Coturnix japonica: one gene and its partner. The protein of the gene in region 2 interacts with the protein of the main gene of each other region in a pairwise test. Links are inferred from orthologs where the notes say so. Each region holds a gene or a part of one and is shown on either strand. Other genes may lie near its edges. The genes, in order: CLOCK and ARNTL2.

Region 1 (9,971 bases), on a different chromosome or scaffold from region 2:
TTGGTCAGCAACTTCACTTCTTTATTTAATTTCAGTCAACTCCTCTGATCCAAAGGTAAAACCTGGGATAAACTCTGAGCCTGTTCAGAAGGAATCTCTTTCTCTTTAAATCTATTGGGTACCTACAGACCACTTACAGATCATTACCTCTCTAGAACCTACTAGACATATTTTGATTTAATATGTTGAGATTTTTCTTCACTGTGATAAATAGAGCGACCCCAATAATTATGACAGAGAGAAACTACCTGCCCTATAATGTTACATTTCCCATCTCCTATGGATGGGCTCCAATGCACCACCATTCCTTCTTACACTATGGAAGTACGGAAAGTAAAAACAAATCTAAACGACAGTGGTCTGACTTGGCTTTTCTCCTTAGTAAAGGGGTTTTTCCACAAGTGGTTATACAGGCACATTTCCAGAGAAGCAAAGGCAGAACTGCACGCATTTACACATGCACGCACATCAAGGAGAACAGCAGCTTTCAAATCTCTGTTCTCTTCCTATTTCTACAAATCAGCATTAAAAATACTTTCATCTCTACTGAGCCATTTGCTTGCACAGAAACATTAGGACAACAATTATGAATATTCAGGGCTTTACTTTATAAGTAATCAGGATGCTCAAAAAATCCTCTGTTGTGATTTTAACCTTGTACAGCACATGTTATTGCACACAGTCCACTTTATTATGAATCTTTCTGAACACAAAGATAGCAATAAATAATCAGAATAAAGAAAATTTGTACCAAAAATGCTCAATAATTATGGCAATATCCTACTGAAGGTGAACTGCACAAACAGAATGAACACAATAATGGGGGTGTGCCAAGGAAAAGCACTGAGAGCTCTGAAATCTCCTTATTCAGTGCTTGTGCCTGACATTACAAAGGCACGGAGCAGATTAGGTCTGTTCACCTATCACAAGCAAGACAAAACTACCTAGTTTGAGAAAGACAGGCACAAAGTCTGATACATTTAAGTAGATCTGTATTTCTTGAAGGGATTTTTTAATTTATTTATTTTTTCCTTTTTAATTGACAGAGTCACCGTAAAAGTTTAACAGTAATACCCAGCCACTCACAAAAGGAACCCCAGACTATCTGCCTGGTCTCGTGTGCTCCAATTTGCATGACCATGGATGTACAAAGCAACTGGTAAACATACTGCATGACAAGACATGAATGAATCTTGCAGAGATGAAAATCTGCACCTCCTGGCCCATCTTCAGCTGGATAGAACAGAGCACCAAATCAAGGCAGTGGGGAGATGCAACCCTCTCAGAAACACGATTACAAATGAACAGAAGGATTGCTAATTGGAACCTATTAAGGTGCATTTGTTTGCTTTGTATGTAGTTGTATATTCATGGAGTATCATTACCACTTTAACAAGAGCATCTGTGAAAGAAGGCCCCAAAAGCTGTGAGCATAGCCTGGGAGAGACACTAATTCAGGCTCCTAAAGCAGCAGGGCCACATTAGCATATGTCACTGCTAAGGATGGTGCCATCATGGGTTGCTTCTTTTCCTTCTGGTTTCTCAGGCACAACTGTTTTATTCTATGCTCCTATCTACAGGATGAGAGCTTATTAAAAGCTTATTTGAAGTATATTCTGCCACCCACACAACATTAATTTCAATCTCAAATTGAAGGGAAATGTCTACCTTGCCTGAGGTTGAAAAAAAAAAGATGCTTCTGTTTAAAGCAGTACTGTTTTAGCAGCAATAAAATCTACATACTTACTTAAATTACCTAGAAATCCATTATGCCTTGAAAAGTGGGTGGATAGCTTTAGTAGTCCAAATGTGATGTCATCTGAGCAAAAGTCTTTTTTGGCACAGTGTTCTGAAAAGCAAAACAAAAAAACAGCTCTATGAAAATGAATCTGTTTGAAACAACTTGTGGATGAGCCCTTGATTGCTGCCCCGTTTCATCTGCTGCTATTATGGTCACTTTAGTTCTAGCCCTAAAGAGTTCACAACTTCACACCCCAACTCTATACTCAACAAAATTAGAGTGTCCATGAGAACTTCAGATGTACATATCCCTCCTTTTACTCAGCTCTAAAGTCTGAACTTCCTTCAGGCTGAAGACCAAACCTGCGGCCTAACACAACGGCCTGAGGGTAGCACCACAGTTACAGTTCTAACAGCGCCTACTACATGTTAACATTGTTACAACTGCTTTGCAGCAAGTTATGCCCTTCTTCCATAACACCAGTGATATACCAGCCACATTTCCAGAACCCATATACACCGATACAATCTTAACTTCGTATGAGGGTTTGGGCAGTAGGCGTGATCCACCTCAGAACACTCAGGGAACGCAGCATAGCACAGCACAGCAAAGAGCAAAAGCCATCTCCCCCTCACTGAGGACAAACTTAAGCGTCAGTGAGTTCCACTGAGTAGAACAAACCATACCCCAAATATTTATGTGAACAAACAAGCATCACTCCTACAAACAGGGATGAGCTTTATACATACGCATGCCAGAATGTGGTAACAACAGCATTGCTGACAATCATGCAGTGAACACTTGCATAAGGCAAAGTATATCTGTTAAGGAATCCATACACCTATTTCCACCGTAAACCAATTCCTTTTGACATATGTAAAAAAAAGAACTTCAAAATCCCTAATTTGTCCCCATCTTGTCCCCAGATACATACAATGCAGCTGGAAGATGTCACAATAGAGAGAGAGAATGCCAGTGACTGAAGAAGGCGATTGCAAAAGTATATTTCATTAGGCAAGTCTAATGTGAGAAGAAGGAAGGTGCTTCTAGAAGCCAGGTGTCCCACCTCAATGGTGCAGAAATGCATAAAGAAATCCACCAGCTCATTCAAAACCTGAGTGGAATGAGAGACAGTGACAGGGGAACACACATGCCTGAGTTTTCAGGCCAGTGCTGTTGATCTGCCACTCCTTTTGAAAGCTATTGAAATCAAGAGCTGAATGTCAGGGTGGGGCAGGGGGTAAGGGAAAGTCTTAGCACTAGGATGTGTGTCCCAGCTTTCCTGCCAAACCGATCAAACCAGCACATTTCCCCAGCCCTTTCCCTGTCTCTTTCTATTTTTTTCCTCTTTTTTCCTCTTCATAAAAGCCATAATTTAAACGTTTCCTCTGTTTTTCCTCTCTCCATTTCCTACCACATCCCCATTCATCTTCATCTTGATTCAGCCCACTCTTCTGATGTTGTTATGCTTTCCAAATCCTGCTCAGTAAAATATTTTCCCTCTATTCCTTCAAATCTCTCTACTATTTGGATTTGCTTTATGCTACCTTCTGCCTCTATACTCCCACCTTTTTACACACTGGTCTACCTTACTCTGTACATAGCAATTACAACTTGTTTAAGTTGCTTGCTATGACTAACATTCATTTGAATCCTTGTCCCCTTTTCTTAGCTCATTCTCCTCATTTTCTATATCAGTGGCACTTAGATCACAAGCTCCTTGAGGCTCAAACTGTGTCTTTACCTGGGAAACATCACGTAAACCTTTAGCGCAGCACAAAATGTTTAATACTGCTAGGCTGGCAATATATATATATATAAATATACATATACAATCTGAAAAGAAACCCTCAAAACAACAAAAATATTCTCACCTGAAAATCTGCATGTATTGCTGATGGATAATGAAATGTATTTTAAGCAAGGTTACTGAAATAACAAGCTATCATTGAAAGTAGCACACAAGTTCCAAACTACTTTCACCCTCAGCCACACGCTTGCTAACAGCAGCCTGATTACATATAATGAATGTTGCTGCAGCGGATGGCAAGAAAAGCTTTATTAAATCATATTACCTCATTAAAATTGACAGCGAGGAAAGCGTGTGAATAGGGGGAGAATGTGCATTCCTACTCTGACAGTTCTTGGAAGCCATGATTCATGCTGCTACTTGCTTTTCTATGCACAGACAGAAGAGAAGCTGGTTTACTTCAGAATACTTGTTACTACGAAAACTACTTTAAAACAAGCACAAGTCAAAGCCGTGTAGCTATTTTACATCTACTACAGTACTTCATAACTGACATATTGTAATAAGCTGCATCCTACAAAATTTGTAAACATTCTATCCGTAACAGAGGTTTGAAAAGAATATCTGGTATTACTGAGCAGAGACTTGTCCAGGAGTTAAAAACAAGCTAGTGAAGTTTTCTTCACTTTCCCCCCCACTTCCACTAAGCCTGACAGAAATTCCTGTAGACCCACCACCACAAAGGACAAAACACTCCACTGAGACTAAAGAGAATCTTGCAAGTTGATCACAGTGCTATGAACTTCAGTACCTATGTTATTACCTAATCCTGATGAGGACAATAATTCATCAGTTAATGATCAGAATATGCAGTAATGGGCAGTAGGGCACAGCTCCTACAGCTCTGCCTTTCATCAGCCCCACAGTAACAAGGCAGCCTACAACCAGTCACCTCCTGCACAGCAGAGACCTGCACACGCTGAAAAGCAAATCAGAGCCAAACTCACAGCACGGCGTCTCTCTCTCTCTCAAGAAAGGGAACTGACAGGTTTCTCTCTACCCAGTTTGTTTGCCTTCCCCAAAACTGTAGGAATGTGACACTCTGAGATCTCTATCCCTCCTACAAACACGGTTGCAAGTGTCCTGTGACTACAAAAGCTATTGGCAAATATGTAAGGAAAGAATGAGGGGAAAAAAGGGATAAACAGTATCAATCACTTTCTGTAGGAAATCGGGCCTAAAAGAAAAACAAAAAGCCACCTCCCCTGTTGCTTGTTCCCTGAGCCAAGCAGATTTAGGTGAAGCGCTTCCTGATTTCTCACATCTTCACATTTATGTTTCAAATACAAAACACACCCCTAGAGGACTAAGGGCTGGAAAAGTCCCCTCAAGTACCACCACCATTTCTCCCCATAACACAGCCTGAAGCTTCTGGATGACCAAGGAAAACCAGCCTGAGCCTCCGGCATTTCTCTAACAAGTTCCACAGGAAGAACTCCCCATCTCCCACCTGCCCACAGCAGCGTGAGTTTACCCTCTCAGAATCCACAACCACCTTCCTGCAGGCAGTCGCTGAGCTGCTGGAACATGAGTCTTCCACAACAGCTTTGTCAGAATGCGTGTGAGTAACATCCACTACTCAAAAGACCAACACCAGTCTCTGATGTTGTATTAAACATGCAGTGAAACAGCCACCAAAAACACCAAATACTCTTAAATGCCAGCAACTAATATTTACTACACCAATAAAAGCTTTTATCATCCTGGATGCACTTCACAAAGTGTACAAACAGTAACATGTTTTATTTACTGCAGAAGCAGCAGCAGAATCCTTGGAAGTGGAAATGTGAGGTTAGATATGTTAATGCCATTTATTTTACAGTGTTCTTTCTTCCTTATCGTGCATCTTACTACCTCATACTCAAATATTTTCCAAGATAATCATTTAATATGTAAAATTGTACTTTTCTTCTCATATTTTTGTTAAGGCACATGAAGAAATGCGCACATTATCATTCCTCTTTCTTCCAAGGCCATTTGTTCCAGGGCTGTCCCCAATACATTCACAACCACTTCCTGATGGCACTCACGAGGCAGTGCTGGAACCTTCTGGATAACTGTCAGGTCAGCAGTTAATGGGATGCTCATGGGATCAAAGATCACATACTTAGGCAGCTGCATGCTAAAATCTTTTAGATTTGACCTATAATGCCAGTATTACATCATAAACAATAATGTACCGTAGTATTAAACACCTAAAAGTTAGATACGGCACTGGATGACAAGCCCATTCCCAAGCATTCCTCTTCCAAGTGTCCCACAGCTCTACTACTACCACAAGGTGTTAGTAATTCAGTTCTAACATCCAACCTGAACCCTCCCCGTGGCACAACTTAAAGCTGTTACTTCTCATCCTGTCACTGTTACCTGGCAGAAGAGGCTGACCCCCAACTCACTACAACCTCCTTTCAAGTAGCTGTAATAGAAACAAGCACCAAAGCCAGGGACAGCTGCATTGCTCAGCAATCACAGAATCGAATCACAGAATTGTAGGGGTTGGAAGGGACCTCTAGAGATCATCGAGTCCAACCCCCCTGCCAAAGCAGGCTCCCTGCACCATGTCACACAGGTAGGCGTCCAGGTGGGTCTTGAATATCTCCTGAGAAGGAGACTCCACCACCTCCCTGGGCAGCCAAATACTTCTAAAAAAGTTAGTAGATACACAAACATTAAATGTAAAGTAAATACAAAACTAAGCCTCCAGCATCACCTGTTTCTGAAGGTCTACAACACTGGTAAGGTTAGTACTCACAATACTGATGTATATAGCTAAGCTTTTCCCATCAAGACACACCAGAGAGGGGGAAAATAAACGTTCTCATTTTTGTCCAGCAGCAGTTACAGCACCATAAGCCAGAACAGAGAAATCACAGGCACGGCCTCACTGCAGATTCCACACTGTGCTGGAAGCTGGATCAACTCCTGACCTCTCTCCTTCCAGCATCAGTCCTCAGAGCAAGTGAGAAGCACTGAGAAGCAAAAGGCTGGGCAGAACTGAACCAGCAGCACGCAGACCTCTCTGGGTCCCAACGGGACAGAGAAGAGTTCTGGTTCCCATTCCCTAATGACATTTAAAGTTCTATACGGAAGAAAAGACTGAAGAGCTCTTGGAAGAGGCCACAAAACAGCTGCCCATCACTTTCACCTCCAGCTCCAAGAAAACAAGCACTGTAGCGTTTTTCTTTTGCCCAATTAAACTTTAATCGCCTCGTATGCAGTGAAAAGTGGATTTTTAGTGTTTGGGTTTTTCATTGTTGCTGGGAGCATCTGAGTTTTGTGGTTTTTTTGGAAGGAGACATCAAAAAAACCTCTACCCCGTCCCTCCTTTGTGCTTCTGAACAAAAGGGAGAGTCACCAGATTGGCCCGAGTCCAGTCCCGTAGGTGTGACTCAGGTGCGGTTTGAACATGCCTTCCGACAAGTGAGTGCCTCATTTACAGATTGCCTAATTTATGAATACTAAACAGGCGGAGGTGCCAAGATGCTCCGTTTTGACAAGAGCACGGAGGAGCTGAGTGAGAACAAAGCTTCAAGGTGCCCAGATAACTTTTACAGAGAGCTGTAAAAACACAACCAACATATGGCTAAAAGTTTAGTCTGGGGAAAAGGAGGCTGAGGGGAGACCTTACTGCCCTCTTCCAGTACCTGAAAGGTTCTTACAGTGAGAGTGGGGCAGGTCTCTTCTCACTAGTGACAAGTGACAGGACGAGGAGAAATGGCCTCAAGTTGCGCCACGGCAAATTTAGGTTGGATATTAGGAAGAACTTCTTTACAGAAAGGGTAGTTAGGTACTGGAATAGGCTCCCCAGGGATGTGGTTGAATCGTCATCCCTGATTGTGTTTAAGAGCCGTTTGGATGTGGTGCTCAGGGATATGATTTAGTGTAGGGTTGTTAGAGTTAGGGTACTGGTTAGGCTGTGGTTGGACTTGACGATCTTCAAGGTCTTTTCCAACCTGGGTAATTCTCTGATTCTATAAGTTCATCCTGGACTAAATATTCAGAACCCACCTTAAATCACAGTTCTGACTCCTCTCTATTCCTTCTGGATCTGGCCACATACCAAAATAACATGCATCAAAACCTCCTCAGAAACACCTGCAAATATCTTTTTACACCTACAGAGCCTCACAATGTTTATATTTCAGTATTTATGTTTAAATACACTTAAAAAAGATCTTTCACTAAGAACTGTCTCATTCTGTTTTAACATATGGATATTACTCCAACGCCATTTGTCCTGTGGTTGCAGGCTGTCATAATCAGGTTTTAGCTCTAGAACTTGAAGCTTTCTCACACAGAGATTATTAAACACTACTACAAGAACAAAGTATTTGTCTCCACTCTTACGCCTCACTTGGATACATCTGCATTGGAAAGATGAGGAAAGCCCACAATATCCCTTAAGCTTCATAAGATTGTACCAAAAATACCAGTTCTGAATCTTAGACGATATATCAACTTCTAATGGATCTGCATTGAATAAAACATTAACGTTACTACAGATGATTTTACGATACGCTCAGCATTGCTCCTCAGAACATCACTGCACAGTAAGAAAACTTATTCAGTGATTTTAATGACCAAATGTAACAGCTGGAAAGAGTCCAATGTGAGCAAACAGTAAAGTGACAAAAGACTCTACAAACAAAGTCATGTTGCTTCTGCTTAGTATTAAGTACATGGGAACTGCAAAGCACCAAAACTTTTGAAAGATACGATTACATATTCTGAAAGCAGCTGTATTTAAGAATTCATATTATACACTTAAAACTACGGTAAAAGAATATTAAAGCCATAAAATTAAACACTCAGGCATGAGGTTTGCCCAAATTAAAGCAGCCTTCACATTACAAAGGCATTTTGTGGCAGCAGTATGGGCTGAGAATTCAATCCTTCAGGGCAGCAGGCAGCTGCATTAACCATGAGTCTTCTTCCTCTCCCATCACTTTGCATTTCACATCTTTAACTCCCTTAAGAAACAAACTGGGGAACACCTAACAGTTTCAAACTACCTCTCAAAGCCCATTACCTGAGCTAATAAAGCACCCAGCTGCAATTTTGAGCTGCTTTCCCTAGCTAGACCACGCAGAAGGGCATGAGAGATCACAGAATCACAGAATGACCCGGGTTGGAAGGGACCTCAAGGATCATGTAGTTCCAACCCCCCTGCCTAGCAGGGCCACCAAACATACACCTTTACTAGATCAGGTTGCCCAGGGCCCCGTCCAACCTGGTCTTGAACACCTCCAAGGACGGGGCATCCACAACCTCCCTGGGCAGCCTGTTCCAGGGCCTAACCACTCTCCTAGGGAAGAACTTCCCTCTAACATCCAACCTAAATCTTCCCTCTTTTAACTTAAAACCATTTCCCCGTGTCCTGCCATTGTCAGCCCTTTCGAAGAGTTTACTCCCCTCCTGGGAGTAAGTTCCCTTCAGGTATTGAAAGGCTGCAATGAGGTCACTCTGCAGCCTTCTCTTCTCCAGGCTGAACAAGCCCAGCTCCCTCAGCCTGTCCTCATAGTGGAGGTGCTCCAGCCCCCTGATCATCTTTGTGGCCCTCCTCTGGACCCTTTCCAAAATCTCTATGTCTTTATCCTCCCAATAGGAATGGCTGTATCCCCCTCTGCCAGCATTACACTGAGGCACCGTAATCTTTCACTTCAGGTTCTGCTGCATGACCAAAGACGCACTTCTTACACCTCCTATTCTGAAGCACTACTGAATTCAGAACCCAGAGGGTGATATTTCCACTGCTGATTTATTAATATTCCCTCCAGAGCTTGACTAGGGCCAAAAAGCAGCAAAAGCTCAAAGCTTTTAAAAGCAGCGATTTCCTCAACAAGGCCAATCTGTGAAGATTTACGATTTCAGTGAAACTCTGTGCTAACAAGATAATTAACCAACACTACAAATTAAAGTAATTACCGCTCCGTTTTTATATTGTTGAGCATAAAAAGTCAGATTAGTTACAGGAGGGAGCTTTTATGAGCTCTTTCAAGCGTTTAAAAAGAAATACTGCTTTACTCATATCCTTTATTTTACCTATGTTAGTTAAACTCTTTGATGTAAGAATACAATGCAGAATAATTAAGGAACAAGGCATGTCTGAATAACATCTTAAAGTATCAAACACCAAACCTGGGAGGCTTGTGGGTTGTTTTATCTAAACCACGTGGACTGTTTCTTAAAGACAGAACTGCTGACAAAATTCTCGCCCCTTCCCATCACAGTCCCTCATATTCAACCTAAAACCCCAACACAAACATTCAGTATTTTATCTATCTGAAAGCAACGCCTTTAATGCTCTTAACGAGGGACCTCGAATGGATGCATGCATGAAAATCAGTAGCAAGATTTGCAAAACATCCCGTCTATCAAGTAGAATTTCCCTATTAAAACAATCAAATGCTGCCTGATTTC
Region 2 (9,530 bases):
ACTTAAAAATAAATAAGTAGTAGGATGAATGCCCCATCTTACTTGCACAGAGGATAATGTATTCCGATGATTACTGTTGACATCAGATATCTGGTACAAATTAAACCTGGGGCCCCCAGTACAAGAATGGTGCAGACCTCTTGGAATGAGTCCAGAGGAGGACCACTAAGATGATCAGAGGGCTGGAGCACCTCTCCTGTGAAGAAAGGTTGAGGGAACTGGGTTTGATTAGCTTGGAGGAAAAAATTAGCTTGGAGGAAGACCTTATTTGGGGCCTTCCAATACTCGAAGGGAGCATATAAACAGGAGGGGGAGTGGCTGTTTATGAGGGTGGATAGTGATAGGACAGGGGGGAATGGTTTTAAATTGAGATGGGGAGATTTAAGTTAGATATTAGGAGGAAGTTTTTCACTCAGAGGGTGGTGATGCACTGGAACAGGTTGCCCAAGGAGGCTGTGGATGCCCCATCCCTGGAGGCATTCAAGGCCAGGTTGGATGTGGCTCTGGGCAGCCTGGTCTGGTGGTTGGTGACCCTGCACATAGCAGGGGGTTGGAACTGGATGATCATTGTGGTCCTTTTCAACTTAGGCCATTCTGTGATTCGATGAAGATGTCAAGGTATTTGCTTGGCTTCAAGGGTCACATGAAGAATTTCAGTTTTGTAATTTTTCATGGTGTCTTTTTTCTGCCACAAATAATCAAGTTGCTGTGAAGTATGATTCAGTGACTCCAAGTTGTTACTTTATAGATTTTTCTCAGTATTTCATGTAAATATTGTGATCATTGCTACTTTGATCAAATGAATCCAATTCAGTTGTCAAATAGAAGTGGTGTATGAAAAATAATTTAAATGCAGGAATTGTTCTTGTGATATGTTACATTCCCAAAGCGAAATTAATAAGTAGTGTAGGGAAAATCGTATATTTCACATCTTTCTTAAAATAATTTTTCTTCTTAGAGAGGCTCACAGTCAAACAGAGAAACGAAGAAGAGACAAAATGAATAATTTGATAGAGGAATTGTCTGCTATGATACCTCAATGCAATCCTATGGCACGAAAACTAGACAAGCTTACAGTATTACGGATGGCAGTGCAACACTTAAAATCTTTAAAAGGTAGGTTTTAGGAAACTAATACTTAAAGTCCTTATTCTGTCAGGAGATATACTACATATTTTCTTTGATGGCAGATACATCTAAGGTCATCTGTTCTGTTTACTTGCTGAATTCCATTCTGAGTCTATTTTAATTTAATTTGATATGCTTGTAGTTTCTAGAATTTTGCTTCATTTTGGCTTTTCTTTCTGGTATACTAAACAACACAAAGTGTTGGCTATCTTGTTTGCTAAGGCGATGCCTTGCAATCAGGTCACTCCTTGATTCTGTTTTGAAATCACACAGATCAAGCAGCTTCATCTTCCATTATTTTCTAACCCTCAAATTAAATGTTTTGTGATGTCTCCACTTCATACTTTCTGCAACAGTAATACATGTGGTTTATGAAGTCAGCTGTACTGACTTCACTAGCTGAACTGCTAGTGAGAGGAAAATGTTCTTCATACTTCTGTTTGTTACTGCAGTCTTTGGGTTTGCATCAGCCTTTTGTATTGGAATTTCTTGTTTGTTAGTTGAGTATAAAATGTACATCATTAATAAAGACCTTTCATAAAAACCCAGCAAAATTCTGTAAGGGCATAAAGTTGAGGGCTTGGTCACTTATGAAATACTGAATAATTCTGATGAGTTTTTTGTCTAGTGTGGGTTCAGAAAAAAATGTCTTCTAAGCAATGGGAAACCATGGTAATGCTTACCTGACTACTAACTACTTATCTAGGTAGTTTCACTGGTAGGGGGGCGTAGGTTGGTGCTTCAGCAATGTTACTTTTTTTTTTTAATAGGGTAGTTTACCAGTGTACTTTCGTAAAACAAACAAAAAAAGGCATTAAACTAAAGAAAAGAATTTAAAAAAAGTAAAATTTACCTGTGGTCAAAAGGAACATCATTACTTCAAACTTTAAAAGAATAGTTGATGATGATTGCAGTTACATTTGAGTCTTAAATACTATGAAATATTAAAGAGTGCAAACAAGAAGTGTTATTAAATGCTTATGTTCTCAGTCACCTTACAATGTACTCACAGATTTCAGTGAACAGTCCATTGTAGATATCAGGGTCTAACTAGGATATATTCTTTCATCTCCTTTTACTGCTATGAATAGCTTTGAAGGTTTTCTTTCTCCCATAAGAAACATTATATACAAATACAAATTAAATGTAAGATTTCAGGGTTTTTGGCAATACTATTTTAGAATAATTTAGCCAACTGTAAGTAAAGGCTATGCCTTGCAAAAAATTTGATTAGGGATAAACATCTAATAAGAATCTCCCTTGTCTTAATGAATTATGTGTCTATCTTAACAGTAATGGACTCAGAATAATTTAGGTTGGAGGGAATTTTCAGTCATCACTGACTCTTTAGCAGGGTGATTTCAAACTAAAAGAGGGGAGATTCAGGTTGAATATAAGGAAGAAGTGAGGTGCTGGAACAGGTTGCCCAGAGTGGTGATGGTGATGAATGTTCGTGAGGACATTCAAGGTCAGGCTGAATGGCACTCTGAGCAGCCTGATCGAGCTGTCAATGTCCCTGTTCATTGCAGAGGAGTTGGACTAGATGGTCGTTAAAGGTCCCCTCCAACTCTTCTTAGGATTCTACGAATTCCTAAAAATCTTCTTTTCCGAGAAGCTTGGAATTTTGCATAAATAATGTCACAAATTAGCGGGCTAATCATGGCGTTTAAACATGCATCTTCATCTTGACGATGAAAACAAAAGTCTTCATCTCAAACAGCATTATTTTAACAGTGGATTATGAAAACTCTGTTTCATCCAGTGCAGTTGTTATATGTATCTTCAAAACAAATGCTTTGAGACCATATAAGATAATGTATGAAATTATAGCAAATGCTCACAAAAAAAAAATAAATTAAAATGGCTAACAAGGATTTTAGGGTATTTGCTACAGATGCTGGGACAGTAAATGTAGTGGCAGAAATGTACAATACCTTTTCAATTAAACCACCTGGAGTGATTTGTTTGGATGGCTGAATATATTATAGCATTAGTGAAGCTTTATTCATGCTAGAAGGCAACTGATAACATAGGAATTATTCAGCTTCAGCAAATGTTAAGGATTCTGGAGCAGGTATGTGAAGTGTTTCTAAATAATGCAGATCTCATAATACCATTTCTTTAGTAGTATACTGAAGATATCTGATCAGAAGTTTCCTTGTTTTGTGCTAAATAAAGGCATGAGAAAATCTGGTGGTATGTCCAAATTCAGTATCCACATATGTTTAAGAGTTTTGGTTGGTTCTTTTTTTTTAAAAAAAAAAAAAACAAAAAAAAAACAACAAAAAACCTCTTTAAACTTTTATTCATCTGTTTTTATTGCAAGGAGAATTTACAAAGTAAAGACCAAATAATAAATATAATTTTGTTAAAAATGAATTTTTAATGTATCCTTTGACATCCTATGTATGTCTACAAATAAGCTGTTTTCCAGGTTCCACTAGCTCTTACACAGAAGTCCGGTATAAACCTTCGTTTTTAAAGGATGATGAGCTCAGACAGTTAATCCTCAGGGTAAGTAGAAGGCAACCCTTGGTGAAATTATGTCCTCTTTAAAGCTTGTTGTTAACTTTGGTTTTTAGTTTGAGTGAGCTAACCACCCCTGCATCCCCTACGTTTTTTTCTTCAAGCGAGTGCTTTGATGCACTTAGTTGGTTTGATTTATAACCTCTGTACAGGAAACAAGATTTTTCATGAAGAGATACAGAAGATAGCAGATGGCAACCCTTCAAGGGATAATAAATCTGTATACACTCTGCATTCTTAATGCTTAAACTGTTTTTTAATACTGATACTGAAATCTATATGCAAGCATATATAATAATCTCAGTTACGTATAAATACAGTTGTTTGCTGTGCATTTAAAATCTTAGCAATGTAATTTGGAAAAGATGCAGAAATAATACCTAAAAGAAAATCTTTCTTCTGGTTTTTGCATGCAGTCATACGCCCACACCCCTTTACCCTTTCTCTTTTGCAGCTATTTTCTTTTTCCTTTGCTGCAATAACACAATTTGGCAAGATCTGTAAGATGACTCCATGTTAATCTGTTTTGCAGCTGCTTTCTTTTTCCCAAAGCTATGTTTAGGAAACTCTAGCTGTCTGTATTTGAAGGTCTGATTTGGTCCTTGCAATTTTTTAAATTGCTTTTTGCTGTGACTTTTAACTTATTTAATAAAAAGCATACAAATGTACTTCCTTTTGTTCATCAATATTAATTGTATATTTTAATGGTTAGTTTTTAAAGATGCTGTCTTTATATTTTCAGGCTGCGGATGGATTCCTGTTTGTGGTTGGATGTAACAGAGGAAAAATTCTGTTTGTCTCAGAATCAGTTTGCAAAATACTTAATTATGATCAGGTGGTTATAATTGAGTTTCTTTGTGTTTATCTTACAATTTCTTTTATTTAGAAGTTTTAAAATTTTGTTGGTTTATTGTATTCTTTTGTATAATTTCTTGGAATATTGTTGGTTTAACCTCTTTCAGATTAAGGCTGAATTACCCAGAATGAAAATTTTAAAGTGCAATCAATGTTCATGACCTGAATAATAACTGGATTTCAGTTGATCATACTGTAGAATTGCAAGTCTGAGGGAAAAGGATAATTTGAAATGTCCTAATTTTATCCCTAAGAGATTTCCTTTAAATGATTATTTTCTTTTTTTCTTTTTTTTTTTCTTTTTTTTTTTTAAGCCTGAGGAAAATTAGTTATAAAGCAGCATGCCCAGGTGGGCAAGAAAGCCAATGGCATCCTGGTCTGTATCAGAACTAGTATAGCCATCAGGAGCTGGTTGGTGATCGTCCCCCGTACTCAGCTCTGGTGAGGCCAAACCTTGAGTACTGCGTTCACTTTTGGGCCCCTCACTACAAGAAAGACATTGAGGCCCTGGAGCATGTCCAGAGAAGGGCAAGCTTTGCATTAAGATTAGACAGAGACTGGGTAAATGAAAGGCTGAATGTTTATCCTGCTTTCTTAGAAGCTTTGCAGTACGTCCATTTCTGACTCTAGTTTATTGGAGAGGTGTTCCCCTTTTATGCAGTGATCACATTGTATGCAGCAAGAGTCCAAAATGAATTGAAGTTTCAATCTACAATACAGATTATTAACTCAGCTCCTTTCTACTTTTTGGTAAGGAATCGAAAAGAAAAGAAAAAAAAAAAAAAAAAAAGGTTGCCCACTTCTTTGAGAGTTCCTTCCTGTTTCAAAAGATGATAGTAGTGCTTACTGTAGTGCAGCAGACCAGCTTTGGTCAGCAGAATAAGCAGGTTGAAAGGATCCCAGCTGAGGAGATCCCTGTAAAAATCTTCAACTAAGAAATGCAGAGGTAGAAGCTCTGTGCAGCTTCCAATCAACTCCTGATTAGCAATGCTCTTTTGTCCAACTAAATGAGAGCTCAGAGTCATAGGTAGCATTAATTTCTTTCTATTTCTTCCCTTGGCACACCATCCCCAAAATAATCTGTGCACATAAGCTTCAGGATCAGGAATCATGTTAAGTAAACATACAAAAAAAAAAAAAAACAACCCACCTTTCTTTTTTACAACACTCAATCTTCTTGAATATGCAACTAAATAGTTTTGTTTTTTCAAAGGGAAGTTACAGCTTGTATATTTTGCTACCCTCTTTTGATAAAAATAATGTTAAGTAATGGAGAAATAAATGCAAACTGATATATAAAAGTTCATAGTAACTGTGATGTTTTACAAGGTGTTTTTTGTTTTTCAGTAGTGCAGAATGTTGTTTTTCTGAGGTCTGTAATATGAAGTGTCCTGTCCTAAAACAGTGGGGTTCTTTTTTTCTTTTTTTAAATAGACCAGTTTAATTGGACAAAGTTTGTTTGATTACTTGCATCCAAAAGATGTTGCCAAAGTTAAGGAACAACTTTCATCTTCAGATGTCTCTCCCAGAGAAAAGCTTGTAGATGGCAAAAGTAAGTCATATTTGAATGCACTCAAATTTCTTTATTTTTTTAAGATATGTTAATAAAGTCAGTTCTTATGTAGGAAATAATTGTGTGCATGGATGTACAAGCTTGAAATACAATTTACATGAAAAAACATGTTTCAGTGCTTATCCGCTGCTTATAATTCATTGCAGTTCAACAGAAAAAAAACTTATTGTAGGCAATAAGTGTGATTGAATTTAGCATTGTTGAACATTTACCAAGTTGTAGTCTGACATTCTTCCTTCCAGGCATACTACTTTTTTTTCTAGTATTTTATAGGTCTTGTCATTACAAAAGACCTGATGTAGTTGAACATGGGATAAAATACTTCAGTATCAAGAATCACTGACTTCTCTGAAAATGCTGTCAATCCTAATTTAACCAAATCTATTTACAGTTATTTCTGATATGAAAAGCATTTTGTACTCTGCAGCTAATAACTGTCTTATAGCTGGCTTTTATAGGCATCTTTGCACTTCCTCTATGTACCAAATAGAAGTTGAAAGTTGATAAAGTGTATTTATTAAAGTATGATTCAAAATGTTAAATACAGCTTAAATTCAGTTTTGTAGTTCTTTTTAAATTTGGAGTCTGTGCAGCAGCCACATTTTCTTTGCCTTGTTTAAAGTTATTAGATGTTTTTTCTTTTGTAATTATAAGGACAACATTTAGGTAACTAAACAGTAAGGAGAATATATGAGAAACTGAAGATAAGGCCTTGGGCTCAGCAGTTTTATTCTTGGATTTTTTTTGTTTTCATTAACTACTTTACTAAATTTTTATAAGCTGGCTTGCAAGTACATACAGATTTTCAAGCTGGACCAGCTCGACTGAATTCTGGTGCTCGACGATCCTTCTTCTGTCGGATAAAATGTAGTAGGACCACAGTCAAAGAAGAGAAGGAGTGCTTACCCAATCCAAAGAAGAAAGGTATTCAAACAGTGTAGCTGAAATGGGGGCTTTCTGTCTTGAAATTCAGTATATTTAAGTTCCAAGCCAGTAGTGTGATCCTTGTAATTATCGCTGATTTCACGTAATAGCTGTAGAGAAGTGTAAATATGTACTGCAGGCGTGTTCTGAAAAACAGTCTAATTGTCCTTTTCTCCTCCCTATTCACTCCTGAGAAGAGGAAGGGAGGAAGGAACCTGGGTTGCATTGTTGGTTTAGGAGACACGGTCTGTTCTAGTCAAATTTTTGAAAGCACTGGAGCAGATCAGAAGAGTTAAGATAAATAACATATGTCTTGAAGATAACTATATGAATAAGGCCTGCAAAGTCTGCTGTTTTGGAGGAAAAAAAGCAAGTAAAATCTTTATCTGATTTACGTTTTGTATTGTGTGTACTTACGAATTATACCTTTCCATTTTTGCATTTTTTTAATAGTAAAGTTAATTTATCAGTGTAATATCAGTGTTTCTCCAATGTCTTTAATTTAGTCCGTAGTTTTAATTTAGTTTGGTATACCTGTAGAGCAGTATATTCTTGGCAAGTTTTCTTTCTGATCTTGAAAGAATCTTCCTTCTTTTTTATTTTAATTTAACCTGCTGCTGTTGAGATACATCATAAAAGAACACATTCTAAAATGGGTCTGTCATTGTAAGTCAGAAGAATTCTGTCCATCTCCCTTGATGTGTCAGCTAACTTGGTGAGAGTAGAATTTATCTCTTACAAACGTGCTTTCAGGCAAGCAGCATTCAGAGAGATCGCATTAAAAGTTTGGGAAACTAGCAGTTTCAGAAGGGTAACTCAATTTTTCATTTGACAGGGTTGATTGATATTTTCCATAGTTGAGAGTTAATGCAGTCAAATCTATGTCAATCATACTTTGGTAAAATAAGATTGCTTTGCCAGTTTGGGGGGAAGACAGTAACTGTAGGATACATAATCTCTGTATGTTGAGGTTAGTGGGATATTGTATAAGTAAGTTTCTACCAGTCATAGAAAGGGATTATCGCGTATGCTTAAATTAAATGTTCTTTAATATTTATGTTCCTGTAAAAATTGAGGAATTCAGAAGTCTGAGATAAGTGGAAAGTAATTTGGGTTATTTTGGGGTGCTCTCTTCATGGATTCTTTTAGTAATTGCAGCAAAAATATGTAGAATCATAGTGTTCACTTAAGATAAACATTCTGTAGCTTCCAAATCAATTTATTTAGTTTATTGTGATTTACAACACATAAGGAAACATGTAAAGGAGAAACAGTGGGTTACTAAGCTGTTGTTCTATTGTTGGTTTTGGTTTTTTTTCCCTTTGATACTACACTGTCAATGCCTATAATTTATCTTCCCAAGTCTTACATAGGGTTAGGAGCACTCTCTTCAGGTAAGCCAAAATTAAGTAGTAAAAATTTACTTCAAAAGCACGCTGTGACATTATCCATAGCCTTTTACAGTTGTAGTAAGTATGCATAAAATAGGATTGTTGGTCTTATGGTGAAAGATTTTTTTAATTACATTTTGAACCATAATTGCTTATTTTATTTCTTTTTATTAGATCACAGAAAGTATTGTACCATTCACTGTACTGGATATATGAAGAACTGGCCTCCTAGCGAGGTGGGAGTAGAAGAGGAAAATGATGTAGAAAAGAACAGTAGTAATTTTAACTGTCTTGTTGCAATTGGGAGGTTACACCCTTACATTGTTCCACAAAAGAGTGGAGAGATAAAAGTCAAAGCAACAGAATTTGTAACACGATTTGCCATGGATGGAAAATTTGTTTATGTAGATCAGCGGTAAGTTTTCTTCTTTAACGAAGAGAAAACGACATGACTTGGTTAGGTCTTGTGAACTTTTCTGACTGAAGGGACTGCAATTTTTTTAAGCATGTTAGGATTTCGGGATGCTGAAGAGCTGTGTCATGAATCTGAGTCCTTGGACTTCATTCTGTTAAAAATAAAATATAATTTATGTAGCAAAATAAGTGTATTGTCCTTTAGGAAAGTGTAGGTTCGCAAGATGAAAATGCATCATAGGATACTCTTGTATACTATATATTAACACAATAAAAAATTTTGAGTTAGAGTAGCATAGCTATACATGTGACTTATTTGTTTATAAGTTATGCTGACAGAGAAAAAAAAAATAATAAGCCCTTCACAAAAAAATGACTGCTTATTTATATCTTAGTATTTGGAGCAAATACATTTTATCTCATCTCATATCTAAAAGTGTCGGTTCAAACTTATTCCTTAGAGCAAAATTTAACTATTATTTTTTTCAAATGACTCATTAAGTGGGTTTGGTACTTTGATTGCCTAATTGGAAGAGCTAATAATCATATGTACTTTGTGTTCATTTAAATTGTGCATACAAATGGTTTGCATTTTCAAACACTGTTATTCTGTGTTTGAATTGATACTCTTACACAGTTTTGTTATCCTGTATTATACATTGCAAACAGATCCAAGGTAAACTGCAGTCTATATTTGCTATTATTTTAGAGCTATCCTA

The links.
Region 1: the proteins of ARNTL2 (region 2) and CLOCK interact in binary tests that used the Homo sapiens proteins (3 or more experiments, as listed by UniProt). The link is inferred for Coturnix japonica from reciprocal best matches to the Homo sapiens genes BMAL2 and CLOCK.

The regions. Positions count from the first base shown.
Region 1 is NC_029519.1:58,680,119-58,690,089, reverse strand, and holds the start of CLOCK (circadian locomoter output cycles protein kaput), read right to left. Parts: upstream 6,073-9,971; 5' UTR 1,748-6,072; intron 1-1,747. UniProt on the Homo sapiens protein: Transcriptional activator which forms a core component of the circadian clock.
Region 2 is NC_029516.1:62,638,680-62,648,209, forward strand, and holds part of ARNTL2 (aryl hydrocarbon receptor nuclear translocator-like protein 2), read left to right. Parts: intron 1-958; coding exon 959-1,116; intron 1,117-3,551; coding exon of another isoform or gene 3,552-3,562; coding exon 3,563-3,642; intron 3,643-4,396; coding exon 4,397-4,489; intron 4,490-5,943; coding exon 5,944-6,061; intron 6,062-6,862; coding exon 6,863-7,006; intron 7,007-8,571; coding exon 8,572-8,812; intron 8,813-9,530. UniProt on the Homo sapiens protein: Transcriptional activator which forms a core component of the circadian clock.